Drosophila melanogaster: one gene and its partners. The protein of the gene in region 2 interacts with the protein of the main gene of each other region in a pairwise test. Each region holds a gene or a part of one and is shown on either strand. Other genes may lie near its edges.

Region 1 (10,971 bases), on a different chromosome or scaffold from region 2:
TTTCCAATTGCCATTGCGTTCCGTTGTCTTTGCTTGACTGTTCTGTTTGTCTCAAGTGACATCGTTGCCAAGGATCATCTCATAATGTGGCAAGCGTTTAGCTTCATCCACCCCTGCACCATCACTCTCCATCAGAATGGGAATGGAAATGGGTATGGGTATGGGTATGGTTATGTGGGTATAGGACTGGGTATTGGTATGGGAATGGAGATTGGGGATTCGGGATTGGGGATTGGGGATTGGCTTAGCTCAGCTCAGCTCGGCTCAGCTCATGTTTTTCGGTCTCTGAAAACTCAGGAATCCAAATTCTCGAGTTCTTTAGCTGCGAGCTGTGCTCGTTCTGCATTCAGAACGCTGAGCACGGAACTCTCGACTCATATCCTTCGCTTCAAACCACTTGACATTTTCACAGTCTGGCATCCATGTCAATTTTGCGGTTTCGGTTTCATACACATCCATGTGGATGCGATTGTGGATGTGTGGGCACGGGCACGGGCACCATTCTCCACATGAATGTGGAATTTTGGGCTCGGATTTTGTGGGCACACCGACAGCAATGATATCTTAAGCGTTCTGAATAATAGTTTGTGAATAATGGTACAACTAAAAGTCGGGGGAGTCGTAAAATACAAACAATCGTGGAGTTTTTTGCATAACGAACGACTGAACTACAATTTTTACGATTGCATTCCGATTTATTTGGTATGTAAAAATCGAATGGGACAATATTGAAACAAGGCGTACAATATGTATGTACATATGTGTTCTTTGATCTCAAAAAGCATTCTTTGGCCATTATAGAGCTACACTCGACCCCATTTTGACCAGGCCAGTAATTAGTCGCTTTAAAGTAAGCCGTGTCCGAAGTGATTGGGAAAATAAAGCAGAGAATATTGTGGAAGCGGTGTTAATATCGTTGCGTGTTTCATAGAATCGTAAATATGTGCGAGTGGCGGACGAGAATGTGAGATTCCTACAGCCGTCTACTTAGGGTCTTTCTATTTGGCCACTTACACTACAGACTATGTATCTGTATCTGCATATATGTACATATATTTGTATCTATATTGGTGTGCGTGCGCCTGAGTGTGTAATCCGTCCATAAGTGGCCTCAAATGCCTATCCATAATGATGATGATGATGTGGTTGCCGCTGCGACCAATAGTTGGTCATTCATCACGACGATTCGCGGGGGGAGTACGATATGTACAAGTATTGGATGGAGTATAGGAATATGGTATGGTATGGCATGGTATGGTATGGCATGGTATGGTTTGGTTTGGTATGGTATGGTATGGTTCGGAACCGTAAAGTATGGTTTCGGTATGGTATGCTATGCTATAGTTGCGGAGCCGAAAACCAATTTATGCCGCATGTCACGCCTTCTTGTGAGTGTCCGTCGGCATTTCGGATACTCATTTGTGCAAACGGGAGGGACAGACCATTTCGAGGGCGTTGCCCATTATAGATCTCATCAGACCAATACTATATACATTTGAATCTGGATTCGTTGAGACAAGCAAATATGTACGTGTGCTTTTCGCAGGCGAGAAGAGCTAGCTTGACTTGTGATTGTGATCCAAATGAGTTACGCACATCGGTCTATTTACGTAAAAACATTACTAAATGATTTAAGGTGGGCAGTAATATATCTGAATTAAATGGCATTTAACGAAAATAGCAATTTTTTGTAGATATTTTCCACTGGACTTTATATCTTTCGAATGGAAAAACAAAATCCGCATAAAATCGATGACTCATCTATATTATTCACATAAAGTACATATGCTCTATTTTCATAGTGAAAACATGAAAATTATGTATCCGCCCAGAGAACCAATAAAAAAAAGCATCTTTGATTACATGTTTCTTCAATTTTGCCGTTGTTTATTTGTTAATAAAAAACTTAAAATCTTGTTGTAATACAGTACACAATCGTCGGGAGGAATTTTCGTTTGCGATAGCAATAACATTTTCGTTCACCTACGATCTATCAACCTTTGCGATGGATTTTTATAATTTTGTTTTTTTTTTTTTGGGTTTATTTTTTTTCTTTAGGGATTGGTTGAATTGAATCTCTTCTGGTTTTTTATTTTTTTAACACACGGGGGGGATATGTTTCAATAGAATTTGCTTGCTGTGTTAGTACATCCAAGTTATACAATACAATATAGTTTTATTGGCTACGAAAAAAATTGTCTTAAAACTATTTAATATATGCCATTCATAATATATATTTCGTTATAAATATCAATACTTCGTTGTACACCGATAGAGGGGGCAGGGAAACGGAACCCGTTCCAAAATCCCCGCTTCTGCACTGCCCAGCCCGCTTTTCAGATGACAGACTTTAATTTTTTTTTTTTTTTGGATCCGATCCTGGGATCCCACACACACACACACACACACTCTCATTCATGCATCTGCACATTCACACTGAGGAACGGATTGAATACTATACACTTAGATGTCGCACTACAGTATACATTATACATTATACATAGGTTTCCAAAAAAAAAAAAAATCCATATAACACATGTACGAGCAGAAAAAGCTTAGTTTCGGAGCAATTCCAGTTTTCAGAGGGGGGGGTGGGGTACTTAGTGGCATTGGTTGCGGGTGTTGCGGGGTCGCGCCTGAGGAGGAGTGCCAGCCATTTAATGGTCAAGCTGTGGCACAGCCCCACCACCTGAAGCTCCACCTTTTTGTGTAATGCAGCACGCCACCAAATGTATTCTTCTTAAAATACGATTCACACACAAAAAAAAAATATAAAAACAAATTTGACTAAGGAAATCATCTAGAAATCATCGCCATGGATCAGCAGTCTGGACATTAGACGGAAATCGGCGCATTCGTGGCCGCCGGCGATTGCTGTTGCGGCTGCTGTTGGTGGTGCTGATGGTGATGATGGTGGTGGTGACCCATGTGGTGATGACCCAGATGATGGTGCTGCTCCTGATGGTGGTGGCTCAGGGTCAGATGATGATGCTGCTCCTGCTGGTGTTGCTGCTGCAGCTGGTGATGGTGGTTGTATTGCTGGTGCTGTGTCTTCAGCAGCATGGAGCGGTACATTTCGGAGAGGAGACTCCACATGGGCGGCGAGTCCTTGGCCAGATCCACGGGTGATCCCGCCGGCAGGAAGGCGGTGGGCGGTGCCTGGCTGGTGGCAGCGGCAGCCGCTGCGGCGGCAAACATCTGGGTCTGCAGCAGGCGCAGATGATGATGCTCCTCGAGGTCCAGAACGGGCAGTGGGAGCATTTGCCGCCGGCTGGTCATGTAGGCACTGTCGCTATCCGGGTCCAGATCCATTTTGATGCTCGTCTGTGGTGGATTGGCGCTAGCGCTGGCGGAGGAACTAGAGGCGGAGGAGGCGGCTGCCGTGGAACAGGCGGAGCTGGAGGCGGTGCTGTCGTGACGCTTACGCTTGCCCAGCAACTGATCCATGGAGAAGGCATCGCTGGGCGAGCGCTTCTCACGCTCCAGCTCATGCTCCTGTTCGGGTTCGTGCTCCTTGTCGGATTCCACATCCTGTTCCTGCTCCTTTTCCGCCTCCCGCTCCCGTTCCTGCTCCTGCTCCTGCTCCTGTTCCCGATCCTGCTCCGACTTGCGACGCTTGTGAAGGCTGAAATCCAATGGCTGGTCAGCTGCCCGCTCCTCATCGGCGGCAATGCTACTACTGCTGGCCAGGCTCAAGCTGCAGTGCATCTCCTCATCCTGCTCATTATCCCGTTCGTGTTCCTCCTGATCCTCGCTGGAGGCCGCCGGACTAGAGCTATTGGCCTGCATGTCCACGTACACAAAGTCGTTGTCATCTTCGGGATCAGCATCCTGTTCATTGTCCACCGATCCAGAATCGGGATCCTGACAGCCGGTGGAAAGCAGGCCCAAGCCATGTAGACCCGCCTGTCCGCCGAACATGACGTACGGATGGTGACCATGATGCGGCGGCGGCGGTGGCAGAAGTCCGGGAAAGGCAACCGGAAGTCGTCCGGCGACAGCGGCCGCTGCTGCGGCTGTTCCGGGCGAGAAAACCGGAAACTGCTGGGCAGTGCGGCCATCGTGCGGCGAGATCTTGCGCCGGATGTGTGGCGAATGGAGTTTGGGATTCGGATTGGCGCTATGGCGATTCCTCGAACGCCTCGAACTGAACACCATATTGCAGCCCTCCACCGTGCACTTGTGCATCTCGCGAAGATGCACGGCCGAAAAGTGAATCTTAAGGGCGCCCTTGTCGCAGAAGGTCTTGAAGCAAATGGAGCACTGTACTCGTTTCTTTCCCGTGGCTGGATTGATAAACTGACCGGCCAGATTGATGGGCGGTGAGCCCCAGCGACGAGGCTTTAAGGATGAACCTGATCCAGTGCCCGATCCCGCTGCCGATCCCGATCCAGAGCCACTGGATCCGCCGGGTGAGCTGGCCGGAGAGGCGGCATTTGGCTGCGGGTGTGACGGTAGATGGGAGTGCACATGCTGGTGGGAATGTGGGCCATGGCCCAGCAGATAAGCCGGTGACATGAACGGATTCATTATGTGCTCCATGTCGTCTGTGGTGGATTTTGTTTCTATGGTCGCGCTGGCGATGGCGATGGCGATGACTGGTGGTGCCTGGAAAACAAACAAGAAACAGAAACGAATCGTTAGGAGTGTCAATCAGGGAGTGTCAATCAGGAAGTCAGTGAATCGGTCAGTCCTAATCGAAAACTATTGCCAGGGTTGCGGGGCAAATCCGATTGCGCAACTACAACTGGGAAACTGGAATCAACCTTATCGCCGAGAGTCAGCAGGGCAAATTGTTGAATGGTCTGTGGTGCCGGGGACATGGACATTGACTCCTGGACCTGGGACATTGGGCAGTGGTCATTGATGCGCAATTAGAGTGCGAAAAGTCAAGACGGTCGAATAAGTCAAGGGGAGAAAACTTTATTTTGGGGGGGGGTCTCAATTAATCAGTGGATTACAGCGATTAGTTGGTCATTGCTGTAAGATACATTCTGAAATCCAGATTTAAAAGAAAGTCTTTAAGGCTGCCAGCTGTGTGCTTCAAAAAAAAAAAAACCCCATTGCTGTTCAAATGGCTTTTTCATTAATTAATATTCGATATCCTTAAGATATAGATTAATATCTGAGGCGAATGTATATGTACATATGACTGCATTGCCACGCCAAAAGCACTAATCTATAGCATTGGAAAGCGCTCTAAAGTCATATCTCAAGTGTATTACCGAAATTCCCAAGTGAAAGCTTCCAAGGAGCTTAGCCAACTTTGTGCAAATCCAGCTAGATTTATTGGTAAGACACACACTGCTTACAATAACTCAGACAAGCGAACATTTATATCGGCGACACCGATGGCGGCATATCTTTCATGTCGAGCCGATAGTACAGTAGAACAACTAGAGTTGCCATGTTTTGTATTTTGAAATAATCAAAAGGGGTATCCCAGTGACTGACGCTACATCATTTGTTTAATCTTTATCATTTTGGTTCCTATGCACCCAATTTCTGTCGTAGCCAAGGCCCACTGTACACTAACACTGGCGCATTACTTGTGTAAGTGCACATTGCCTCATTTACTCGAGCGAAATCTTTTACAGCTTTTTCGGTTCTTCTGGCCATTAAAATCGCCTCTGACAACGTCGACGGCGACGACAACATGCGGCGATCAGTGTCGGACTTCGACTTTGGATCCGATCGGTCGGAGTTAAAGCCAAAACCAAAACCAAAAGCAAAGCTAAAGCCAGAGCTAGCTCATTTTTTTTATTGTGGACTCCGTTCGCTACCGTAATTGTGAGCAGTCGACTTGACGTTAAAAACAGAAACAAATCAGGGGTAAAAAAAAAAAAAAAGAAGTGAACCGAACCCAGGGGCGTCACAAAACTGGGGACAATTGCGGTGAGATGCGGATGACGATGGTGATGATCGTGTGTGCGATGTCGTGGCTGGCTATCTGGATTCGATCTCAAAAGTCGAACACACATTCGCATTCGCTTGCCCAATGCCAGCTAAAAAGTTAAGCCGAAAACCACATACGACTATGGCTCACACATACAGGCATACAGGTAACACGCACACAGTTGCAGGAAGCCAGGAGATGGTCGCTTTTTATGGGGCTCATTAGTAACGATGACAACAATAGCATTAAAATGAGTGTATGTACACACGGCGAAAATGCGAAAGCGCAAGAAAAAAAAAAGAAGAGCAAAAAGGGGGGAAAAAAAACTTAATTGTCAGGTACTTGGAAGTAATCAGTTTCTGACTAGGTGCCGAAAATATTGTTACCATTCAAGAAATAGAGAATGACCCAAAGATGTTGCAATAATTTTCTAGATCATTATAAGTTAACTATATCATATGAGTTGAAGGTGCCTATACCTTTTTATCTTCCAAGAATCTTTTAAAAAAGAGATTCAACTCAAAAAAAAATATAGATCTTTTAACATTTCAATATAAAACAATTCAAGATCTAAGCATCATAACAATCTTGCATAGCACAATAAGGCGCAACGGAAAACAATAACAACCTCTCTATTTTCTCTCAGTGCACGCGGTCGACAGATCGAGGTGAGTATGCATGTACATGGGTAATTATTTTTGTCAAACGCTTAAAATGTCTTAAGCCACCGATGGTGAAAGGGGGGGTGATGTTGGGCAGCTGGGGGTAGGGGAAAAACCAATCACAACTTTTGATGGCTCTCGGACGAAACGTTTTTTGATTATCGGCAGTGGCAAAGGCAGCAAAATGTTGAAAGTACCCAAGACAAGAAACGACAAGATTGAAGAATTCCGAGAGTTGGGAGACGCTTTAGATGGTAGATGGTAGATCCAAGATCTGTGGAGTACGGTGTGTGGCAGTTGGGGATGGAAGATGCCGAGATGTGAGCAATCCGGCGGCTATAATTGCTGTTGTAGTTGCTGTTAATAGTAGTACATTATAATAAGCAGGAGTCGATGGGCACAAGGGGCATGCAAGGGGCATGCGATGGTCCAAAGATGACAACGCCGATGGTCCGGACATCAACGAGAAAAACAGAGCTCGAAAACCGCAGACAAAAATCTTAATTACAACTTTGACATTTGGCGTTTCCCCCGAAGACATCACTTTTTTGTCGTCGAAGCTCACGCAGCAAATAGACAAAAATGGGTTTACGAACATTGGATTAACAAGCTGTTTTCAATTTAGCAAAGTCAGGATATTATAAGAAAATCCATAGACTAGAGGTAAAAGATGGCAGCACATCACCAGAGATCCCATGAAAATGGTAATACCATATTAATGCCACTAGCAGCCTATGTGATCCTAACAAGATCATTATTTACCACGAAAAGAATCCTATTGTTGCGTTCCTATTTCATAACACAATTCTTGAATGGGTAATATTTTTATGGCACCAGGATTTCTTTTTAGAAAATACTCCTCTGATCTCGAAAAATATTCACTATGACTTCACTTGAATTTGAATTCTTTGCTTGAAGTGCCGACGGCAAATCAACTTTACTCGAACTATACATACCTTTTGCTAATTTAGCAGCGAGTTGTAGATATTTTATTGTATTTTGGTTTATTGCTGTTTTTTTTTTTTGTTTTAGATTTTCTCACTTTGTCACAGGTTTGAGATTTAAAAAAAGGGTTTCTTTCGCTTTGTTTTGTTTTGATATTTTGTTGCGTAAAAAGTTGATAAATTCAGATGGTAGAATTCACTGTTGGAGCTGTGTGCTGTTGTTGTTTTCATGCCCGTGGTGCATTTATTTTTGTTGCATTTTGCTGAGATATTAAAAAAGTTGGTCGTTCACAGTTGACGATGACACACACACACACACACACACGCTCGTATGCACGCACACTTATGCACTGGGTCGCGCGGCAGAGAGAAGAGTGGACTGGACGCGAATATGCGGATGCGAATATGTGAATATGCGGAGTGGCAAACGAAGTAGCGACGAAGATGCGGATGTGCGGAGAGCAGGGACAGCAGAGATCCACTTCTTCGAATGTCGTGGGTGACACTGATTGTCGATTTGTCGTTTCACCAACGAATTTGTGCGGCGACTGCGACGCCGGCAGCGCAGCGGGCAGAGAGCGAGCGACAAATGCGGCGACACCGACACCGACACACCGACTGACTGACACAAACACACACGCACACGCGGGGTGGGTGACATTTGGCTCTCTCTCGCTCGCTCTCCCGCTCGCTCTTGCGCCCTCTCTCTTTCACTCTTTCGCTCTTGCACCTGGAAGAGTGTGAGAGAGCGCGCTATTGGAATTGGCCTTCGTCACATTGTCGTCGATGGGTCATTAGGCACTCGCCCGAGTGCGAGCGAGAGATCCGCCCGCACTTGAGTCCATCCCGCTCGCCCAGTCGGCAAAGCAGTGCGAGGCAAGAGTAGCCACCACTCTCTTACTCACGCCGCGAAAGAGCGCCGTCCCGTGCGTGCGAGCGGCTTGGCACGCTCGTGCGGCTATCTCGCGCCCGCTCGCACACTGTCGTCTGAGTGGACGAAACCGTTTCGTTGGGTTGACACATGCGACATGCGACGTGTGTGTGTGTGGTCAGTGCGGCACACACATTCACACGCACTGCCGCCAGCCAAAGAGAACGCAGCGCTCGCTCTCGCCGCTTGCTGGTATGGGTGCCTTGGGTTCGATGGTGTGAGTACATGGCCGGGCACTATAGTGTGACAGAGCGAGAGAGAGGGAGCCGGAGCACAAGAGCGCAAGAGGGAGAGAGCAACGAGAGTGAAATGGCAATGGCCACAGTATACAGTACACAGTACGTAATTTGTCGCTGCTGCGACGTCACTTTTTGTCTTGGGCTTCTCCTCTCTGCTTCTCTTCACGAAGGTTCTTTTGAAATTTTTGTCATTTGATGTCTTGTCCACTCGGTGCTGTGCCCTCTCGCCGTCCCTATCGCACCCGCACGAATGGCCGCGTTGAGCGGCTCTCTTTGTTTTGCGATTGCGCTGTGCATCTGTATGGGTGTGTGTGTGGGTGCGAATGTCGCTGTATAGGTGTATCTGTGTATGGGTGACACTTTGGCAATGGGGGCGATTCGCTTCGATTTTTTTTCCCTGTCGCCACACAGCACCAATGGAATTCGAGCACTGGTGACAAAGAAGCGACGCTGCTGCTTCCTCTTTCCACCCCACACCCCTACCGCAGTCCCTCAACGATCCTATCACCATGACCGCCCCCACCACCACTATATATGTATGTACATATGTATGCATGTATAACTTATGTAAATTGCACAGCTTCGGTATGTAAGTGCCTTATGTGATAGCAGCACCTACACACATATACACAGCTCCTTGTCGTTTCATTGTCCTTTTCATTGCCGAATTAAAATAATTCTCACCCACACTCCCACACAGTATATGTATGTATTTGCTAGACGCCGGAATGTCCCACATAAGGATACAAAAGCACACATACATATTTGGCCACATTTGTTCTTCAATTTATCCACACAAGTGTCCGAGAAAAGTTCTTAAAGCGAAAAAAAACCGTACGGAACAAATCCTATTTGCATTAATCACCATAAAAAAATATAACAATAAGGACCGCATTATTATGTTGCATACCCACAAGGCGTTAGCATCAATGTTGGACTTCCAGGAAATGGTCAGGACTTAATAAAAAGCACTCTCTTAACATTCAATATCTTTAAGTATTACATATCATACCATACGTTTAAATGGTATATAAGGTTCTAACTAAAATTCATTCAAGTAAGTTTACTTACTACTTATAAACCAAACCCAAATCAGTTTCTTGTTAACCTAAAGCTTTAAGCTTTAAGGCTTCTCAAATACAATGCATCACTCATTCAATTAGTTGTTTCTTATTTAGCTTTCGTAATCGCGTAATCGCAAGTACCTTTGCAGAAACATTAATTGTTCTAAATATATAAATAACACAATTTATTCACTGTTGTTTTCCTAAAAACTATGTTTACTTCAATTTTTAATCTGAAGGTGGGAATAAATCCTCCAAACCCAAACTATAATTCTTTCAGATAAACAGATTTATCTGAAACTTAAAAGCACCATAATTCCACTTTAAAATGTGATGTGAAAATTAATGATTATAATTAGATGTGTTGTGAAAATCATTTTTCAACGAAGTTTTTACAGAATGTACCATCAATTTAAGTGACAAGTGCAGCAACCTTTATGCTGCCTCGATTCTATTCAACAAGGTGTCCTCAAATTGCTTGATTTGAGAATAATATCTGATAATATTAATGTGTGGAGTGCCTTTATAATCGATTCCCCATTGCTGAGTGTCACTTTTCAATTCGGCGCCGCCAACTGGCCTTTGTGAATTGATTGATGTGAGTTCGAAGGTGAAAAGTCAATCCTCGAAGGTTTTTTTTTTAATATTGTTTGGAACGAATGGAAATATCTTCTCTGGGGTCATCTCGATGTCGCCCCCCCATTTTTTTTTTTTTCATGTTGGACAGTGCTAGTCAACACTTTCGTTTTTCCTTTCTCTTCTATTGTGTAGCGAAATGGTTTCATTAATCAAAAATTTGGAGAAATAAATGCTCGTTTCTTTCGATTTATTTCGGCCCCCTGCCAGATTTGATAAATAATTGCTATCTTATTATGTCGATTGTCGTTGCTGTCGCCGCTGGAATCAAAATTCAGGGACTTCAGAGTCCCACAGATCCACTGTCACCGGGCTAAAGTCAAGAACAAGATACTGAATCGGAATCGGGCACAAAGTTCTTTATTAACACGGGAATAGCACGGCACCCTTTGTGCACGAACACCAAAATCGAAACGTAATCGAGGTCCGAGATCCGAGACGAAATCGATCAATCATTTTTCACACTTTGTCGTCCAGGTTCTCATTCTCCATCCCATTGCCATTACGATTACCATTACCATTCTCCGTCCTCTATCCTCTATCCTCATTCCCATACCCATACCCATACCCATCCAGATCGAACCATCAAGTGGAGGCCC
Region 2 (5,575 bases):
GCAGGGCTTACAACCAGACCCACAGGATCCAAACTGCGGTCGGCATCGCGGTGCAGCACAACTCATCCTAGAAATTACTTAGCCCTTTGCAACCTGTTGCTAAGTACTTGCCGCTAAAAAAAATGCTAAATACTCCGGGGCAGTGATGGACAGTCAGCTCACAGCTCCAGGCGCCTATTTAGCACCTTTTTTGTCCGCCAATAGTCACAAGTCCACTGGGAAAATTTTATAATTCCTGTCGAATAAAAACTCTTGCAGTTTCCTCAAGTATTTACTGGAAAAGTGACACCAAAGGCAAGGATACATGCGGTTGAAAACATTTTAAATTAGAATCGTATCGAATAAACATATATTGGAGACTAAGTAATTCCATGTATAATTTGCAATTTATATGGTAACTTAACGATTTTTCTTCCTATAAAAGTCTATAAAAGTACTTTTATTCCATCACTCTATTTTTGTCACCAAAACATTGCAATTAAAATTACATCTCAATTACACATCCTGCCTTGCGGTACCATTTAAAACCGACGTATGGTCGCTAGGAATATCCAACCAGAACCACCACGCTTCGTCGAACCCATGTCCTCTCAGTTACATTTGCACAGTTGACCATGCGTGGGTTTGTCTACTAGATCCTCACATGCAGACACCCTCTTACATGGCCTCTGGTCCGTCGGGAGATATTGTAATTGATTGTCTCCGCCTGGATGAATAGGAGTTGGATTGAAGTATCATGGACCGGAGTGGCAAAAACTTTCATCACGGTTCGTTATTCGGCGGATAGAAATTTGCATCGCCAACGGTCCGAGTTAAAACTCGTGGTAGAAGTAATAGAATTATGAAGTTGTTCTGAACAGTATGCAATCTCGTACTTTATTTTGTAACGCTTACTTGATTGGTTGTGTCACAGAGAACACCAATAGAGTAATTTAATTTATATATTCCCACAACATGCCATAATATGGTATATATGATTGAAGATCCCGGCTAAGGGCTTCCAAAATGTAGTTCACTTCAGCATCAGGGTGCCATCCACTCTCTCGTTCCGATTTAGCCAGCTTTCATTTTAGGCCAGATATCCAAAGCGTAGTCTAACCCGAGGGCGGCGTCGATGAGATTGTCAATAGCTGTCAGAGCGAAAAATCGCCTTTGCTCCCTGGGAAACCCAATCCACTTCAGTTCCTTTTCCACTTCGGCACCAAACACTCGATTTTGTGTCTGCTCCAGGGCCAATAACTATACACCCCACCCAAAAAAAAAAAAAACAATAGTAAAAAGAGCACACGTTTCGGAAAACCTAAACCAAGTCAAGATGTGTGGTGGCTGGGCCTGTGCCTCCTACAATATCGCCTGCTGCAATCCCCGCCTGTCGACACTGCGATTCTCTGGCCGCTGTTTCGCACCCACGCCCTGCGGTCCATGTGATGACTGTTCCATTTACGGCGGTTGCTGCGGTGGCTGCTGCGGGTGCTAGGTGATCTCTGACCTGGAGTAGCCACAGAGTTGGGTGGAGAGTCCGGAATTCAACTATCTTGAAGTAGGCCTTGGGAACTGTTGGCTGTCAGCCATGAAACAAATATCATTCAGTCCCAGTCCAGTCCTTGTCGGAACAACAACCTTAAACGTTCACCGGGGTAAGTTTCATTTATGCTTTTATAAAATTTTATTTAAAAATTTTATTTTTAATCATTCACATTTCCATATAGTTCCCACATCCGTTTCCTAACCATGTGTGGTGGCTGGGCTTGTGCCTCCTTTGACCTGGCCTGCAATAATCCTCCCTTGTCAACACTGCGTTTCACCGGTCGGGACTTTATACCCACGCCCTGCGGTCCTTGCGATAAGTGTTATGTTCTAGATACTAGCCGCAAGAAGAACACCAACAACTGCTATGTTCCGCACATCCTGTCTCCACTGGATGCGCAGCTCTGCACACTGGCGAGTACTCAGAAAAAAAAGGAAGACGAATAAACGCCAGGAGGAAATGCGGTCTTATACTACTAAAATTATCAGTGTAGATCTTCTTGTACCAGCCATTTCCATGGGAAACCAATAAAAATTTGAGGGACTAATACTGACTAAGTAAGTTTGTTCCTTAGTTAGAGATCTTGTACCTACGCTGTCGCGCCTAATTATTTTCATATTTTTCCTATCGGTATCCTGGTCCTGGTAAAACTGTCGACAATTTTAGTATATTTTTTTTTAAAGGAATATTAAATTTGAGCCATACAATTTCAAGAACCATTAGAGAAAGAATTATACCTCATGGTATACTTAGGATACTCAATCCTAGTAAGATTGTGCTATCTAGGATTTTGGTATATTTTCTTATTTTTCATATACGTATCAATGGAATATGAAATTTCTCAAGAAATTTGACAAATAGTAAATAAGAAGTTACTTGTTTAAGTACATTAATTTATTGAAAAGCTCGAACCATTGTGTAAGTGAAAATGTGGTTCAAACCAAAAGCACAAAAAAATTTCACGTCGTTTTCTTCAGGAATTGTCGTACCTTGGGTTTCTCAGTAAAAAGGCCCAAAGCAACCCCATTCGCCGGCACAACAGCACCTGTTAGGAGGACATGTCCAGGGACCACAGGGAGGATTGGGTCCACAGCAGCAGTTATTATAGTTCATGGCTGGCAGAGCGGGTCCGACGGGGCCATAAGCCAGGGCATAGGATACCGATCCACAAGCTCCTTGGCAACACATCTTCGGGAGGATAGGTTATAACTGAAGGAGATATTCGATAGAAAATCTTTCGGGGAAATTAGGACTACTCACATTTTGTTTAAGGCAAGAGAAATGCTTGAGTAAAGATTTCCAAAAATGTTGAAACACGAAATTTTTTCGTACTTTTGGTTTATGTACTGGTGAAAGCGTACGGAGCTGTTTACAAAACAAGTAAATAGACTGGAATGAGCTGAGCTAAGAAAACCAAGCCCATGCCCTGGGAAATTCTTCCCGAAGCCAACTTGATGTGGAAAAATTTAAAACCAGCTAGAAAGCCAGAAAGGAAATCAAAGTGGGCTAGAGAAACTGCCTTTAAAATCGATCAAAGTCAAGTTGTTGATGCTGCTCTCCTCCTGGCTGAGCTCACAAATTTCACACATCAATGATTTAACATCGAAGCGACAAATACAAAAAAATTGAATTTCTCTAACGACAAAACAGCAGCGCAACAGATTCGCCCCTCTGGCAAAAATAAGAAATCATTGAAACATGTCTAAAAAAAAAAAAAAAACGACGACTCTGGGCAGAATAACACCAGTATGAGATGGGATGGAAGATGCCGAAAGGATTCTGTACAGGACTCGCTCTAAACTGGGGCAACGGCAATGTCGAGGCAGACATGAAAGTCTATTAGACTCAACGAAGCAACCTTAACGCCATTTTCCAGCTTCCTTCGGTTTTCGGGGGGTTAATGTTAGGGCATGTGTGTGCGGGACAGGATATAGGATATACAGGACCTCGTGTGCGTCTGCGGGCGTTGTGATTCACAAAAGCTGACAAGCTCATCGATCCCTGAACATTAGCTAAACATAAATTACGCAGATGACTGAACAACAATTGAGGCGTTTATTATAATGTGTGTTCACACTTGAGGCTTTCAAAAGATGCACTCACAGCATATACATATACATATATCCATATATATGAGAAGTCTGTATCAGAGAATGGACAATGTAACTTATTTAAACTAAATTGGAATTGTTCAAATGGTATTAAATCGGCCAGCTTAAATTTTGAATAATGAAAAGCAATTGTTTTGGTTGTGATCAGCAAATCAGCAAATGTCAAATAACTACGCTTCAATAAATAAATATTTGAGTTTTTATTATATACTTAGCTTTAAAATACAATAAGATTAAAAAAAGATAATAACTGAAACTTATTTCATAATATTTTGTGCTATCAAATTTTGTGCTTACCTTAAACGCTGGATTTTATAACAATTTCAAAAATTCTCACTATTAACATTGGCAATGAATCCTCCGCTTGGCATTCCATTTGGCCTTATAATTTATTCATTCAACTTGTTTAAAAAGCAATTTACATCGATTTACCAATAACAGCTCGCTGTTGGAGAAAAGGAAAAACCACAGACCCCCAGACAGTTAAGAACTATTGCGAAACTCATTTCTAAACGAACCAAAAAAGGGAACCCAGCTTCAAGACTGCAATTGAGGGCCCTCCACATTCCTTCGAACCGAAAAACAACACCCCACTTAAGATAATCTCATTGGTAGGATGCCAAAAACTTATCCCCCTGCACACACACACAGTGTATAAAAATGTCACCACAAAAAGGGAGAAACACCAGGGAAAAGCAAAACAGCAGGGTAAACAAGTGAGGCTTCAACTAAAAAAGGTATTTCCTTTTAAATCAAATACAAAAATTTCTGCCGGGATTCCAATGCCAGTGCCTCTTGGCCGCCCTGCCTCTTTTCTCTTTTTTTTCTCATTTTTTTTTTCTTTTCCAAGTGGATACGATGGGCACTTCATTTCACTCCAAAAACATATTGAGCCGGGCCACTTGAGTGTGCGCCAAGAGATAAGCGCAATTATATGGCTTCCACTCCCTGAATCCGGACATAAATGGGAGATCGCAGGGGCCGCAGGACATTGGGACAGTGGACATTGGACAACCGCCCAGCGTAAACTGTATAAATTAGGTAAAAAGGAGAACTTAACGTTACTTTTGTGACACGGCCTTCATTGAGACAAATGTGCGGTCTTTAAGTGCAACGTTATTTTCACTTTTTTCCTTCGAGCACTTTAAATTTATTTGCCACAAGAAGCACGGCTATCGGGCCACCGATACTCATGCCCCCGAAATAAAAAGGCATACAAAAGATGTGAAATTCCTCTGAACTCTGGCATCTCACATTTTGTCCCTGGTCAAGTGCTCGTTATGGGCAATTTCTGCTCAAACTGCTTTCTGGGTGCTTTTGTTTTAGTTTCTTGTTTTTTGCTGACCGCATGCTGAGTATGGCTCTTCTATTTTGTGTGGGCCTCCATTTGAAGTGCCTTTGTGGCCGATCTCAAAAGAGGCAACTTGTCAAGCATCGGTTTTCGGGGAAAAGCTCATAAGTGACCATTGAAAAGTTTACACTACGAAGTTGTCAATATGTAGGAATTATTCTTAAGTGCAGCTTATTACAAGTTGCCCAAAGTTCTTTTCTTTTTTTTTGAATTCCTGCTGCTTTGTGGAGTATATACATAGTAATATTATAACATTTGCAAGAGGAGATAGTTGACCATTTTGCATTACAGTATTTGACTGTGACAAAAAATATTAATTTGTGCAACAAAAATGTCAATATTTATTCGCAGACACTATGAACATATAAAATGCACATAAATAGCAAATATTTATATCATATTTAAAATGATAATCTGTAAAAAATGTACCTCACCACATTGGACTTTTCCCTTTTGGCTAACTGTATGTATATTTGCAATGCTCATTTAGAATATTCTCTAAAAGTTTTAAAAAATTATACTAAATACGAAATTGAATAGGACCCAATACTAGTTCAATTCAGAGTCTTATTCTTAGTGATTCCT
Region 3 (7,891 bases), on a different chromosome or scaffold from region 2:
CCGGCACGCGTTTATTTTACCTGAGAGGATGGGCCAAAACCGAATATGTTATTTAATGCATTGGCATGCACAAATTAAGACACGTTATAATTGGGGGTTATATAAGCGAGCATAAACGGCGCTTATCTAATGCCACACGGCAAAAGCAAAGAAAGCGTCGCAATTAGACGAGTTTTCTAGCCAGTTTTTGTCAAATAATAGGCCCAAGATCGAGTGATTTTCATGCATGTTCGGTTGGCTGTCGCCGCATTTGATGTTTTCCATGATGTTTGAAAATGCTTATCGGGTGCGGTCCCTAATGAGATGGGTAACTATTTATCTAGGGGGGAAAATAAAATATGTAATTTTGCGCGATAAGAATAACAACGGAACATGTTAATGAGCATTTTCTTGTTTCGTCATTCAATAACTAATTCAATGATTTTATTATCATTACTGAATATCCCACATTCCTTTCAACTGTCCAAACTATGCGAAAGAACGTAGCATTCGCGTCTTAATGGCAGCACACTTTCGCATATTAAAGGCGGTCACAACAAAAGATGGCAATTTTAAATTTTTTTTGCATATTTAAGACCAGTTAAACGGCGCCGGCTAACATTTCACTTTTGGAGCACATTTTATGGATTTTCTTTTAGCGTCATTAAAGCAAACGAACGCACGCTGCTCTCACAAGTTGCGGTAATTGAGAATTCAAATTTTATGTTTGGCGGTTCAGCAAGACGAACTAATACTGAGTGCTGCAGAACTCGAGAGTAAAGCTTAAAGTTCGTGAGAAAGCTCTTCGCAAGCAGCTGATTGAATAACATGTTTTTATCTACGGAATTATCTTCCACACGCGCCACCTCTTGCTCTTTATTGTTGTCGTCGCCAAATCAGTTTCAGTTATTCGCTGCGTCTGATTGGGAGTGGTTCGAGATCTTTCGGTCTGCAATTTAATTAGTCTGTGCTCTAACATTCTAAATTCGGCATTTTAAATATTCTAAAAGGTAAGTGGAGCATTTGTTTAGCCTTATATAAACCGGTTCACACTCCACGCCAAACACCCACACTTCCGATCGCATTCCGCCCAGCTATTTACTGCACTCAAAGGCTGACTTGCAATTTATCTGAGCAAATAAAAAATGGTGGATTTCCAGATCGGTTGCAATACGTAAATTTGCCGCAATTCAAGCCTCCTTAATGCAAATAAGTTGCGCATTTTAACTTTATGCATAACCTCTGGCCCAACCTATTTGGGCCCGAACTTTCCCCACCGGTCTGTTTTCATATGCATTTTATTTGTCTGCCGCTGTTTTGTTTTTTTCTTTGCACCGGTTTGCCTCCTCGAAAAAGAGAGATACGGATAAAAAAAGTGTGAAGAGACGACAGTGTGAAAGAGGGGGATATATGTGGAGAGAGAGAGACACGTAACCCATTCGACAGGCCTTTTCACATCCACCTGATTCTCCAGGTGCTGTCCAAAGTTTAATCTTGAATTCGTGTCGACAGTTTTAATTAAACCTATACAATTACTATGCATATCTACAAATAGATGGTTCGAGAAAACCTCCAGATAGCTCGTATCTCATTGGGACTTTTGCATGCACAATTTGGAAATGTTTTTAACTTTCTAAGTTTGTCCTATGTTTTGAGTGCTTAAACAACTTAAACAGTCGACGTTTATTTTTTTCATTTATCAAACTAGAAGTCAGATCTGAATACAATTAATTACTATAATTAGATTATCGTAAACTTATATTTGATAAGGATAGATGGACTCTTTTATTAACTTGTCAGTCGAAAAATTAAAACCATAATTTTATTAGGTTTTCTTTTTTATTTCTAGCGAATTTTGTATTAACAGTTTCATAAAGTTCAAGGGTCAAAAGTCATCATGCAATCTTTTTATTTCAACAATAAATATTTCTGGGACTAGAAAAACACCAGATGAGAAAATATCAGATTAGATCTAGATAATTTATTCGCCCCGTCATTACCAGCTTATTTACCAATCGCAAGTCTTATCAATATCGTACTATGTTCGAATTCTCCCAGTTGGACTAGAAAAAAAAACGCTTGTGAAATTCGTTTGGTGAAAGCATAAATATTGTTATTATATATAATTGTGGGCGTGGCCTCAGCTTATGGCGTGTTCGGCGATCGCGCCACCTCAATATGTTAATTAGGTACACATGTACCTATAAAGACTTAGAGATATTTATATTAAAGTCAGACAATGGATCTATTAAATATGAGAAGAAAAATCCAAAAAAACATCACGCAATTGCTATTTTAATTTGGAAGTAAATGGCATTGACTGAGTAGATAAGAATGGTAGACGTTTCAAGATAATCAGAGCGAGCCTCCTTCGCAACAAAAAAAAAAAAAGATTGGCGCCCAAGTTCAAATATTATCTAAGCTTTAACATGTCAGTTCGACTATCGTTATCGATAGTACCGCACGTACCAGCTGATTTTGAATTCGGGTGAAGTTGAATAAATAAGCTTAATGCCACGCGCTTTTCTAATTTGTATTCCTTATCAAAACAAGTCGGCCGTGAACTTTAAATAAAAGTGGCTAGCCCGCAATAGTGGAAAAGTTTTTCGCCAGCTGATAAACGCAACAGTTGTCATTCGGAAGAGAGGGACAATGCCACCCGCAATGCGAAAGCGATTGACAAGTCAGCCGGCGATAACGATTACATGTTTACGCGTTCGCCGAGTGCTTATTGTTTTTTATACTCTCGTTACATTATTAATTAAAACACTTGCTTTTAAGTGTGCCGAGTGTTGTGAGAGCAGCTTATCAAAGTCCGAGGTTCTAAATCTTATCTGACTGGGCATTTAGAACGTTGTGATTACGCCGATTGCGCAACAATTTGACGATTGTACGCCACCCAAGAGAGTCGGAAACTGTAGCGCTTAACGGCACTTTACAGTTATCAGTTACGGTTAGAGCGCGTCTGACGCCCACAGCATTTAATTTTGCTTTGTCCGAAAATTGTTCTCTTTCCCGGGACTCCAGTGTCATATTGTCTCGTATTGTTTCACATTGGTGACAAACACTATCGTCTCTCGTTTCCAGTCGTCGGTCGGTTCATTCATAATAATAATACCCACATCCACACCAATCCGGTTGTAAAATGTTCGCCCTGCGCCGCACAGCCGCAATGATGACGTCGGTCCACCGGCAGCCGCATCTCAGCCAGGCCGTTTTTCGGGCCAATTTCGCCATCAGCGCCGCGGTAGGTCCTCCTTGTATCCTCGCCCTCTGTCGCTCTAAATCTCTTTGCTTACTAAATTTCGGAATAGGGTGGGTCGATGAGCAGGAGAAAAAGATATTTTGAATTTTTTGAAGTCGGTCTCAATATTAAGATTATAAACAATCACGTAGTCACCTGTGCTGCTAGCATCCGATAAATAGGATTACTATATTTACTGTTTATACAAAAAAATTGAACAATTTTTTCTTAAATTTATAACCTATGAATGCAAAGTAGAGATATTAACTTTTAGGCAAGTACCTTAATAATTACGTCGTCACGACGAAATATTAAATATTACAAAGTAAAGATAAGGGATTACTTTTGAAACACGGTGTATTTTAATTTCCATCCATCAATATCGACCCACCCTATCCCAGGCTGATCAAAGTTTACTTTGCTTTGACCAGTTGTCAGTTTATTATCGTCATACATATAAGTTTCGCCTGTATCGCCTGTGCTTAGGACCCCAAAACCCATAAGATATCCATGGATAATGAAAGGATGTCCGCCGTGAGCGAGGTGAATACCCCAATACCGCAGCATTCAGACACAAATCCATTTTTCATGTAGCTAATAAGATTCCCATCCTGCCCTTCAAGCACTCAAGTGTGGTATGCTCTCCCGAACAGATGGCCCAGAAGATCAAAGCCGGTCCCGTTGTGGATGTCCTCGGTGACGAGATGACCCGCATCATTTGGGACTCCATTAAGAGCCAACTGATTCTGCCCTTCCTGGACATTGAGCTGCATACCTACGATCTTGGTATTGAGAACCGCGATAAAACCGAGGACCAGGTCACCATTGACTGTGCTGAGGCCATCAAGAAGTACAACGTGGGCATCAAGTGCGCCACAATCACTCCCGACGAGAAGCGCGTAGAGGAGTTCAACCTGAAGAAGATGTGGAAGTCGCCCAACGGTACCATCCGTAACATCTTGGGAGGAACCGTCTTCCGTGAGGCAATCATCTGCAAGAACGTGCCCCGTCTGGTGACTGGCTGGCAGAAGCCTATTGTGATCGGTCGCCATGCCCACGCCGATCAGTACAAGGCCGTCGACTACGTGGTTCCCGGACCCGGCAAGCTGACCCTCACCTGGAAGGGAACCGACGGTCAGGTGATCGATGAGGTCATTAATGACTTCAAGGGCCCCGGTATTGCCCTGGGAATGTTCAACACGGACGATTCCATTGTGGACTTTGCCCACGCCTCTTTCAAATATGCTCTGGACCGCAAGCTGCCGCTGTACATGAGCACCAAGAACACCATTCTGAAGAAGTACGATGGACGCTTCAAGGACATATTCGAGGACCTGTACAACAAGCAGTACAAGAAGGAGTACGAGGCGGCGGGCATCTGGTATGAACACCGTCTCATCGACGATATGGTTGCTTATGCCATGAAGTCGGAGGGTGGCTTCGTGTGGGCCTGCAAGAACTACGACGGTGATGTGCAGTCGGACTCCGTTGCCCAGGGCTACGGATCTCTGGGTCTGATGACCTCCGTGCTGCTATGCCCCGATGGCAAGACCGTGGAGGCTGAAGCCGCTCACGGAACGGTGACGCGTCACTTCCGCTTCTACCAGCAGGGCAAGGAGACCTCCACCAACCCCATTGCCTCGATATTCGCCTGGACCCGTGGCCTGCTGCATCGTGCCAAGCTGGACAACAATGAGCCACTGAAGCAGTTCGCCGACACCCTTGAGCAGGTGTGCATCGACACAATTGAGAGCGGCGCCATGACCAAGGATCTGGCCATCTGCATTAAAGGCAACATCAACGCCGTTACTCGCAGGGACTACCAGGAGACTTTTGAGTTCATTAACACGCTGGCCAAGAACCTGGAGGGTGCCCTGGCCAAGAATGCCGTTGCTGCCAAATGACTATCCGGCACTCAGTCCGAGCAGCAGGCCTCGCATCTCTAGAAAACTACTCAGCGATGCCTTGTCCTCGTCACCATATTCACAATATTTCCATTCGTTTTTGTAGATGTGCATGTCCTAGGCTAAAAATCCGTGTCCTCGATGCATGTTTCCCACTGTTTCATTGTCTCTGCGAGACGCAAAAAAAAACCCTGATTTCCCTTTAACGTCTAACGGAAAAGAAATTTCAAATAAATGTATTTTTATACCGGACTCGAGAGGTCTTTAACCCAGTCGAGGGTGGGCTCGTTACGAGGCCCGGTCCACTTGTGCGGCTTCTGATGGCTCTGGGTTTATTGGATTTGCCAGCGAAATGGCCACAGTTGTGTTCTAACACTTGGCGGCACCAGACCGAGACGGTTCAAGCGGAAGGGGCTCAGGATCCTGTTAGAAGGACGAAACTATCGATGCTAGCCGAAGCATTGGGCTATGGCTACCTGCTGGCCTACGTGATCTGCCTGCTCTGCTGGCCAGGAGAGGCGTATCCCGCCAGCAGTAGCTACCGGGATCTGGATATATGCAATCATTGGGACGGAAGACGTCACTTCCTGGAACTGGGAAGTCCAGCTGGAGAGGTGCACGCCAGGAATGTGACTACTACTGCCTATAGAGTAAGTGTATTTACAAGCTTCTCCAGACGGGATTTGGTCAGCAATTATGAACTTAAAAACAGAGCTCGCCGCTGGTTTTTAAGAACGATGCAGTGGCCGGGGATGTGTGGTACCAGTGCAGCCTGGAGCTGGTCACCTGTGCCGAGTGCGTCATCCGAGTGGCCTTCACCTATGCCAACTTCTCCAAAAGTTGCGGCAATACGGGTGGCAAGTCCAGCATGTGTCCCTGCGAGCATATCCAGTTCTCGGAGCCGCCCTATGATTCCACCATTTCCGGCCAAGAGTTCTGTGGAGATGGCAAGGTGTTTCGGAGCAAAACCAGGACACTGCAGTTGAAATTCTTCTACAGAGCCAGCAATGCGCACGTGTTCTCCCTTCAATACTTCTCGGAACGTAAGATTTAGAATCAGTTGGTAGGTTTTTAAGAATGCTCTATCCGGATTTCCCTCGGAATAGGCAACGTGCGGATAGTCAGTGGCTCCCCCAAGCAGTCTATTGTGGGCAATGGGAGTACAAAGTCCCAGCCACAAGTGATCTCCACGCCGTATTTCCCGATGGCATATCCACGCGACTATGGTATCGAACACATCCTCACCTGCGAGGCGGACAACTGCCAGGTGCGTTTGGATTTTACCGACTTCCAGCTGGGCCTCACCTCCACCCTAGAGATCTTCGACTCCAATGGCCAGATGCTGGACTCCTATACGGGTGAGCACTTCCGTCCGCCGATCACGGTGAGCAGCGGCAAGTCTCTGCTCCTGCAGTTTCGAGGAAATTCCGCCACCGGAGTGGGTTTTCGCGCGGAGGTTAGCTTCGTATCCTCCAAGCAGCTCAAGGACGAGCGACTGGTGCCCTACACAGGTAAGTGAATGGGTTGCAGTGCACTGAACAAAAACTAAGACTATCAAACAACTCAGATCTAAGGTTAAAACACAAATATTCCGCAGGATTAAAAAATTCGAGGTTTTTAAAAGTATAGAACATTATGCTTATCTTCATTTTAGAACTCGCAGATTGATTAACTTTTTAAATGGATTAGTATATCTTTTCTCTGTAGGAATAGGGACATTTTAATGATTTTCGGATTAGTCGAGCACTTGAAAGTCTGCAGGCAATTGTCATATTGATTTTGGCGAAGGTAGTGGGTGGGGTGGGCACTTGGCGAATATCAATGTCAATGCAAGGCGTTGAAGTGGAAACTGGGTGACTCTGGTTGGGTTCGGTTTGGTAAGACAATCGATTTCTTGGATCATTGCCCGTAGGGTGGTTGGCAAATACTTGTATATAATCCGGAATGGGGTTGGTTATGCACTATTGCGACAGGTTGGATCACAATGCATGATGCAAGAGCACATAAATAAATGCTTATGTACATATCTCTATTACACCTCTAGATTGCGGGGGAATGGTTACCGGACCTGGTGGCGCCATCACCATGATGAACATGATCGAAAATGCCACGGACGTGCGGCTGTTTGACTGCATCTGGATTATAAAGCCCGGCAACAACTACATGATGATGAAAACCCACATCTCGTTGAGAGTGGATGACTTCTACGGCATGGCCGCCAGATCTGAGCTCACAATACGGCAGGGCACCACCTCGGATGCCGTGGAGATCGAGAATGTGATGTGGCCGAACAATGGGCTGAGCAAGGAGAGTCATGTGGCGCCCATCCTCAATGGCTACTACATTCGACTGCGTGGGGTATTCGGGATGTCCTCCAAGCTGGCCATCGTCTACAGCGTGTTCAACTACTTGAGTGAGTTCGATTGGAAAATTTAAATTTAATGTTTAATTAACCAATTCGAATTGCTTAGATTGCTATATTGGCTCGGAGTTTCTGTGCGGGAACAATCACTGCATATCCATTCGCCTCCACTGCGATGGCTTCGACCATTGTGGGGATGGCAGCGATGAGCCGGATTCCTGCGAGGAGGACTGGGCACACCTGCATCACGATCGTCGCTGGTACTCTCACAAGCCCAACTATTATTTCCCCAAGATAGACCAGTATCCAGATCTTAAGACGGCCACGGGAATCTTTATCATCAGCACACTTGGCATATTTGGTGTGCTGTCCGGCTGGATGGTGATCCTGTACAGGATGGGG
Region 4 (7,868 bases), on a different chromosome or scaffold from region 2:
GTTTTATGTGTTAGAGGCCGATTTTAATTTTGAAGGTCACAACAAATTCCTCAAGTTCTAGATATATTAAGAATATTTCAAACACACATGAATTTTAATTAATTATAAATTTATGAATTTATAATTAATTTATGGTGAAATGTTTGTAAAACAAACATCTTTCTTTCGTGAGAAAGGAAGTTTACTTTATAGAAGTTCGACTGTAGTGGCAGCAACAACAGCAGCAACATCAACAGGTTGTGGCCAGCACACACACACACACACACACACTCATATGCACATCCCAAAGAGGGAAGAGAGGGCACCAGTGGGGGGAAAGAGATGGGGATGGGCATAGAGGGAGATGGAGCCACTCTCCTATGCACACTATACTGGTGACCTAGTTTTTGATGCCGTCGAACGCTGCTGCTGCGCTGTTGCCAAACTGCGAAAAAATCAGCTAGAAAAAAAAAGCACGCTAACACAAACAGCGATTTATATATGTGTACGATGTACATATGTACTGCCTAGCATATGTAAGTTTGTGTATCATTACAAGCAAGGCCAACAAAACACGGCCATGCACTCTCTAGAGAAATCCCTCCGTACGCACACATATACATCCAAAATACCCCCAATACATCCCATTTCCACCTTTTTCGAACTGGTCTCCACCAAAGTCGGGCCTGGATTTTCTATATCAATGGTAGTCAAATAACTAGTTTTAAATGCCATTCTAAGCAGTTCATTTTTGAACTTTATAATATACTATACCATTAAAATAGAAGTAATTTAACATTGGGTGTGACATTACTAATGTATGGAGTGGTAGACAATTTGTTAAACCAATTAAGTACCGGAAATGTCATTCATTTCGATTTTGAGCCGAAGGATTCTAGTATAAAATAGTAGCTCTTAGTGATAAATAAGTATCCATTTACAATTTTACGAAATAAAATAAAATGCCAATTCACAAATGAGCTGGATTAATGTATATCACAAACATTGCATAAACACCGACTCGCATTACTCTAAAGTAGGCTCGAATTTCTAGATAAGGCTTGAAAAACGATAATTCGGTTGAGTGTAAAGAATCTTGTATCTATAATATTGTTCAGTAGCTGGGGTATAATAAATGATACCATAGCAACGTTGATATTATATTCCAGATTACGATTGGGCATTACTTCTCAAACTTTGCTAATAGCTTTGATATCCCAAAGTTTGATAAACATTGTGCATTAATTGGAGGAAAACGTTAGCTAGCCTAGTGCTCAACTCACCATCATCTGGGCGTGGAGCTGCAGGTTTGTCTGTCCGGACATCCATCCGCTGCTGGCCAAAGCCTGGACGGTGGCCTGCGATAACATCCTGTTGTTGCCCTGCGACTGCTGGAGCATCGACGCCGCTGCCGCCGCCTGGGAATTGAAGGCCGCTACCGCGGCTGCCCCAAAACTATTTGCCGCATTCGCCACACCATTGGCGCCGGCGGCAGCTGCTGCTGCGGCGGCGCGTTGCTTCATCAGATGCTGTTGATGCGCCGTCGCCGCTGCTGCGGCGGCAGAGGCAGCGTGCTGTTGCTGAGATTTTGAGGTCACCTGTTGGCCACCAGCGGTGTTCGCGGAGGATGATGCGGCTGATGTGTTCTGGCCCATGTTGCCGCCGCTGGAGGAGGAAGGGCCGGACGATCCGGAAACGGAGGTGGTCACTTTTGGAGGCGGCGCCGAGGGTTGACGGGTCCAATTGACCGAGTTGTTGACATTGGCCCGATTGCCAATGAGCAGATTGGAGTCAACCACCTTGCTGGGCCAGTAGTCCTCGAATTCGGTGCCATTTGGGAAGTAGCTTTTGATGTCCGTCAGCGAAATCACGGCCACGTTCTCGCTGGAGAAGAGCTCATTGCGTATGCCCTGCACCTTGCAGCAGAACTTTAGATAAGCCAGGTCCCAGCCATTGAGCAGCTCCGCTTTGGTCTTTAGATTCTCGGTCTCGCCCTCAAAATAAAAGAGCGGCACAACCTGCTGATTGTTGCGCACAGTGTAGGGCACCACGGACTCCTTGTTGATGCGAATAAAGCCGCACTTCTCCGACGGCGTCTTGCTGCCGGAGACTAGTTTCCTATAGCAAATATCCAGGAACTGATAGAACTTGGATGCGTCACTGAGACGCACCACCAAATCCTTTTGGTTGAAGATGTCGCGACCGAACTCGCCGTCACAATGCTTATGATTAATCTCGATGAAGAGACGGGCCTCCGCATCGGTGATGTAGTAGCTGCGCACGCAGGTGCAGCTGGAGTAGATATCCGGATGCAGGCAGTTAAGGTATTTGCCCAGCAGTTTCAGTTCGATCATGCGCACGGAGCAGTACTTCTCCGATTGGCGATAGATGTACGGTATGGATACCTTGCCGAACTGAGCCCAGCCGAAGTGGCCTTGAATGGACTCCTCGTCGCAGGGTCCCGTGGAGGACTTCTTGTCCGAGCCGGAGTCGCTGACGGCTCCATTCGAGCGGCCATTGGAGGCCAAGGCGGGCACCACCTGCATGGTGCCGTTGGGTAGTTTCTGATGACGAGATAGGTAGTTCATGATATTGGTCTGGCCATTGCCATTTGTGATCGGCGGCTGCATGTTGCCACCGGCCGAGGATGCCGCAATGGCGCCCCCATTCGAGTGCTGCATGGCCGCTTGACGGGATGCCTGCTGGGCGGCCTGTTGCTTCTGCTGCTCCTTCATTTTGGCAGCTAGTTCGCGGATCTCGGCGTCATCGGGACGCTCCTGCTTGACGGGCGGTCCCAGGGGACCGCCCAAACTGTTGCCGTGGAGCGGTAGGCTCTGGCCATTGGCATCGATGACGCTAGTGATCTGCACATCCTCGCTGGCCATCGCTCCTCCGCACACTCTCGCTCTTTTGCTCTAGAATGCTGTCTTGCTCGCGCTCTATGTAATCTTGCGTTATCGTACTTTTCCAGACTTTTCGATATCCACACTTTTGGTTTGGTTTTATATTAGGAGCTGTATTGAAAAATTTACTTGTTAGGATGACAGTTCGATTGGTACTGCCAGCATTTCAATTTGATATGTTATTTGTGTATGTATTTATATATATGCTCATATATGTCAATATATATTTAACAAAGACTGCATTATGTCTTACTGATTTTTTTAATTATTCACACATCAAAATGAAATTCTTTTGGCAAGTGTATTTGTTATTTAAACAGAACTATAAAAGAAATAAACAGCCGGCTTGTTCGATCCTTCTCTTTCTGGCACACAAACGGTCACACTGACCGGCTGTCTCACACACACACACACACACACACACACGTGATAATTTTTTTAGATGTTTTCCTTTGCAAGTGTGCGTGTGTTAATGCGCGCACTTATTTTTGTTGTTTTTCGAGCTCATTTCAACATTTTGCACACAATGCTATTGCTGTTGTTGTTTTTGGCATATAAATTATACATTATGTATGCATGTGGTACACTTACACAAACAAACGCTAACTGCATTTTGGCAGTGTGGCAAAAAAAAAAACAAAACTATTTAATGCATTTGTTGTTATATTTAGTTGCTGCTTTCTCTCTCCTCGTTTGCTTTTGGTTTATTAAATTCCTTTTTGTTGTTTTTGCGACGACGCTCGTGGTGAAAAAAAAAAACAATTTGTTTGGTTCTCTTTTCTTTTGATATTCGCACTTTTTCGCTAGTTTGCTTTAGCGCTTGTTCCGCATTCGACGCCGACGCACGTCCGCCCGTCTTCGCAATACACAAACGAGTGTGATCGTTGTTACGAAAATTATTTCAACGAAGTCAACTGAAAAATGTGTACGGCACACACACAAACCTACAGCCGTGCGCTCACCCACACTGGCGCAGCGCGCCGGCAGCGACGCCTACTGCGGCAGCGGATGCAGAGCGCAAAAGAAAAACGGAAAACACGAAAGAGAAAAAAACAAACACCCGTAGCGCAGTCGGCGTCGCTGCAACGCTGCCACGAACATTTTGCCGAATTGTTGTTGCTGCTGTCCGTCTCCCTTTTGCGCCCCCACCCCCCTTCTTATGCATTTTCCTACTCTGCCATCGCTCTCTCTCACCCTATTCGGCTAGCCCCCTCCTCGACGAACGCCTGCTCTCTCTCTCTCCTTCCGCTCATCGACTAGCTCTAAGCTGCGACGCCGACGTCAACGTAGCTGCAGAGTTACAACCCACAGTGGTTAAGACATAAGCAACTTATGGAAATTAATTAAGGGATCTTAGCCAATTCAGTATGAAAGTAAAATTTTATAAAATAATACGAATTTATGGGATTACAAGTTTACCATTTGTTGAATATTTAACCTCACAATTAAGTTCTTTAAATACTCTACACATATGTATCTCGAATTTGAACTTTTTATTGTTAAACTTTCTCTCAAATTCGCATTATTTTTTAGTAACACCATCTGGGAATCAAGCAGATCAAAAAAGGCAAGCTTCTTTGTGGCTTACTCATATAAATGGTGTAAAAAATAATGCAAACTAGCTAAATTTACTTTAAAATTAGTGTTTCCTTGTTACATGTTTACTCTTTACATACAGTTGTACAAATTTATTTGTATATATTATTTCTCTATAAGAATATAATAATGCCATTTTCCCCTGGCATTTGAACCACGGTACAAGGAAAGCTTAAGCTATGCTATATACAAGACCCACACACACTGACACATGTTCACAGAGAGCTGGCTGGGTCACAGTATTGGTATTGGTTTTGGTATTGGTGGTGTGATGATGATGTTGTTGCTTTTGTGCGGGAGTGGGTGGGTGGGTGCTCTTTGTGGGCGAAGGCGTGGCGGGGCGGCTCTATTTTTGGCAAGCACCAAAAGCAAAAGCAAAGGCCCCTGCTTAGCATTCGATGGCCACCTCTCCTCGCTCTAGCCCTCTCCCTTTCCCACATGCCATCACTCTCCCCGTCCCTTTCGCACCGTCGAATGCAAGAAGTTTTCGGTATTCGCGCGCTCTGCGGCTTTCAAGACAGGCCCCGTTCCAGAAGGCAGAGAAAACCGGGAACGACCGAGCACGAACACGAACAAACGAATACACGAGTTCACGAACGGGCGCAGCTCCAAAAGGTCGCCCCGACTCTAAACATTTACCAAAAAAAAAAATTTAATTAGCCAGGTCCAAGAGTCCAAGTCAAATTCCATTGTGCCGCCATCATACGGGGCTAAAAAGTTAACTGCCAGTTAATAACGAGTCCCGCGAAGTACAGTCAGATCAAAACAGGTGTTATTTGGTCCCGAAAACTAAACGTACAGTTGCGCCAAAACACATTGTGATATGTATTTTACTTAATGCAATGTCCACTTCAATTTATTTAGAACCAACTGTAGCCTATTAAAGGTTCTACTTGTTTTCATTCAATCATATGCTTATGTGTGTAATAGGATTACACAATATAAACCGAAACGCAATTTATATATGAATGTACGTAAGTACACCAATCAGTTTTTAGGGTATTCAAAAGCCGAGTGTCAATGGAAGGCACTGCAGTTTATTGGTATCTCTCGGCTTTGGTTTCAGGTGTCTCCCGGGCTTTTTAGTTTGTACGGTACGAGACTCTCCAGTGCGTGGCTTTCTTTAATTCTTTCGTTCTACGGGCTCCCTGTTTCGTGGCATCTCTCTTGATTTTGAGTGGGGGTTTTGATTTTTGGTGTTTTGCTTTGCTAATTAGTCAGCTGTGCGTGAGTGTGTTTGGGTATTTCTTGTACTTTGTGTGGAAGATGTTTTTTGTTTTTTTTTTCTCTACGGCCATGTAAACCCCCTTCTAATAGTGCGGTATTCGTATTTAGTCATATGCTTAACTATGTACATAGATATATATGTATATACATATACATACATAAATCTATATGTACGAGGCTATGTGCAACGGTTAAAGTGTGCGAAATGTGCATCTGTAGTGGTGGGCATACGCATTCGACATCGTCAGTCGCCATCGATGCGAACGAAGAGTGTACGAGAGTGAGAGAGAGAGGGTGTAAGTGCGAGGGGTTGGGTAAGGGGAGAAAGAGGGAGACAGCGTGAGAAGCGAGCGTTACGAAAGGCCCCGTTTCGTGCGCGCTTTGCTATGTAAACACGACTAAACATGTGCCTGCATGTGTGCGTCTGTCTGCATGTATGAATCTAGGCGTACACATGTATGTATGTTTGCATGCGTGGATGTAGACCGTTCGTTTAACCATCAATGGGAAATATTGGATTGGGCGTTGGGTGGCTCAAAACGGGGGATTGGGGCGGTAGGCGGATGGTCGGCTCTGCCGTTTGCTATGATTTTGGCAAGCTTCACGATTGCGCAGGGAACAGAAAACCGATATTTGCTGCACAAAGAAGTAGAACTAGGAGGGCTTACCGAGCTTGATGATGTTTGTACATATATATGTACATATGTATGTATGTATATACATATGTATGGTGGCAATATACAAAAATACAAACGAACAAGAGATCTTACCGCTTAGAAACGGTTAAATTTTGCCAAAATTACGTTAGTAATATTGTTAATACTGCTGGATGTGTAAACACTTTTTAAACAGTCTTGGCTTTGACAGCGACTAATGGCTATTTACAATTTTTGTGCGAGTTGCTTCAGGAATTTTCTCTAACATTTTCTTGTAAATGCATTTGTGCCACCAAACGTTAATGGGGAAAGTCGTTCTACCATCTACATAGTTTCTTAACACAAACTTAAAATTATGCAGATTTGCTGCGTATCTCTTTGCCTCTATAAAATTACCCCACTCACTGCTCCTTTCATTGGGGACTCTGGCCAATCAATGGGGACCGGACATCCGTTCGACCTCGGCTCCCCCCAAGCGCGCAACGCCCACCACCCGCAGTACTTTCCACCGCAATCTTCCCACTCACATCACTTTTTTTCTGCCCTGCTTTCCTCTCCTCTTCTCCTTCTCCGCTGCACTTTGCTTTCTGCTTTCGGCTAATGCGCCCGCAGCACCTGAGAGCGTTACAGAGTGTTGGTGTGCCGGTGTTAATGTGAGCGTGTGCCCAACCCCCCCAAACCATCGCATTGCACCCACTTCTTTCAACACCCACCGCCCCATTGCCACCTTTAACCCTCTGTGTGTCAATTACCAAACGCTCTAAGTGAGTACTTTTTAGGTGGAAAACAAACATTCGAGTTGAAATGCTTGCGGTTATTTCTCTTCGGTTATCTTTTTGGAAGATACACTTTAAATGCGCTTGAACTTATGTCAGTATATGCATAGAAATTTGTGTTTTTCATGATTTCAGATTTTGAAATACGAACGCATAGGATTGGACAGTAATGCGGATGTTAAACTATTATGCTCCACTATTGGGGGATATTCCATGTAAGTCTAGGCTATTGCCACAAAGGATAGTACCATGCGGAACAGGTGTTTCCTCAGCTTTATTTTAAAGGAATTCTACAAACAGTTCAAGTATGCAATTTCCAGTTAAAACTCAATTTGCACGTTTTGTATATTTTTTAAATGTTTATCGCTAAATTCGCTCGGGTAAATAGTGGGTTAAGCCTATGTGGCTTTAACGCAACTTTACACCATCAAGTTTTTGCGGTTGGTTTTGTGTTGTTTTACCCCGTTCTGCTTCCCGCTTTCATTATCAGTATCCGCATCTTTTGCTTATCATTTTGGGGTTCACTTGCTAGATTCTTGTTGTTTTAGCTGCAGTTGCAGTTGCAATTCACGAGCATACAAAAGAGGCTCAAAAAAAAAGATGAAAAGTGCTTACCAAGTTTGCACACAAAGCACATGCATACATACATATACATACAAATGTATGTATATGCATAAGTATTGTTAAAACATAGACATAAATATCAACACTGATGCACAGTTTACTTGGCA

The links.
Region 1: the proteins of CG31820 (region 2) and disco interact in a two-hybrid assay, tested with the Drosophila melanogaster proteins (one large-scale study listed by BioGRID).
Region 3: the proteins of CG31820 (region 2) and Idh interact in a two-hybrid assay, tested with the Drosophila melanogaster proteins (one large-scale study listed by BioGRID).
Region 4: the proteins of CG31820 (region 2) and CG43736 interact in a two-hybrid assay, tested with the Drosophila melanogaster proteins (one large-scale study listed by BioGRID).

What each region holds. Positions count from the first base shown.
Region 1 is NC_004354.4:16,208,737-16,219,707, forward strand, and holds disco (disconnected), read right to left. Parts: upstream 8,015-10,971; 5' UTR 7,515-8,014; intron 4,609-7,514; 5' UTR 4,543-4,608; coding exon 2,836-4,542; 3' UTR 1,862-2,835; downstream 1-1,861. UniProt on the Drosophila melanogaster protein: Required for the establishment of stable connections between the larval optic nerves, the Bolwig's nerves, and their target cells in the brain during embryonic development.
Region 2 is NT_033779.5:16,003,379-16,008,953, forward strand, and holds CG31820 (uncharacterized protein), read right to left. Parts: upstream 2,902-5,575; 5' UTR 2,789-2,901; intron 2,738-2,788; 5' UTR 2,717-2,737; coding exon 2,528-2,716; 3' UTR 2,411-2,527; downstream 1-2,410. Other genes in the region: CG34167 (uncharacterized protein), read right to left, coding at 1-66; CG43816 (uncharacterized protein), read left to right, coding at 1,316-1,477; CG13245 (uncharacterized protein), read left to right, coding at 1,732-1,974.
Region 3 is NT_037436.4:8,353,891-8,361,781, reverse strand, and holds Idh (isocitrate dehydrogenase), read left to right. Parts: upstream 1-2,841; 5' UTR 2,842-3,124; coding exon 3,125-3,226; intron 3,227-3,656; exon of another isoform or gene 3,657-3,709; coding exon 3,710-3,766; intron 3,767-3,846; coding exon 3,847-5,127; 3' UTR 5,128-5,378; downstream 5,379-7,891. Other genes in the region: Culd (CUB and LDLa domain), read left to right, coding at 5,574-5,777, 5,840-6,170, 6,234-6,638, 7,172-7,540, 7,599-7,891.
Region 4 is NC_004354.4:6,864,386-6,872,253, reverse strand, and holds the start of CG43736 (uncharacterized protein), read right to left. Parts: upstream 4,028-7,868; 5' UTR 3,474-4,027; intron 2,994-3,473; 5' UTR 2,865-2,993; coding exon 1,263-2,864; intron 1-1,262.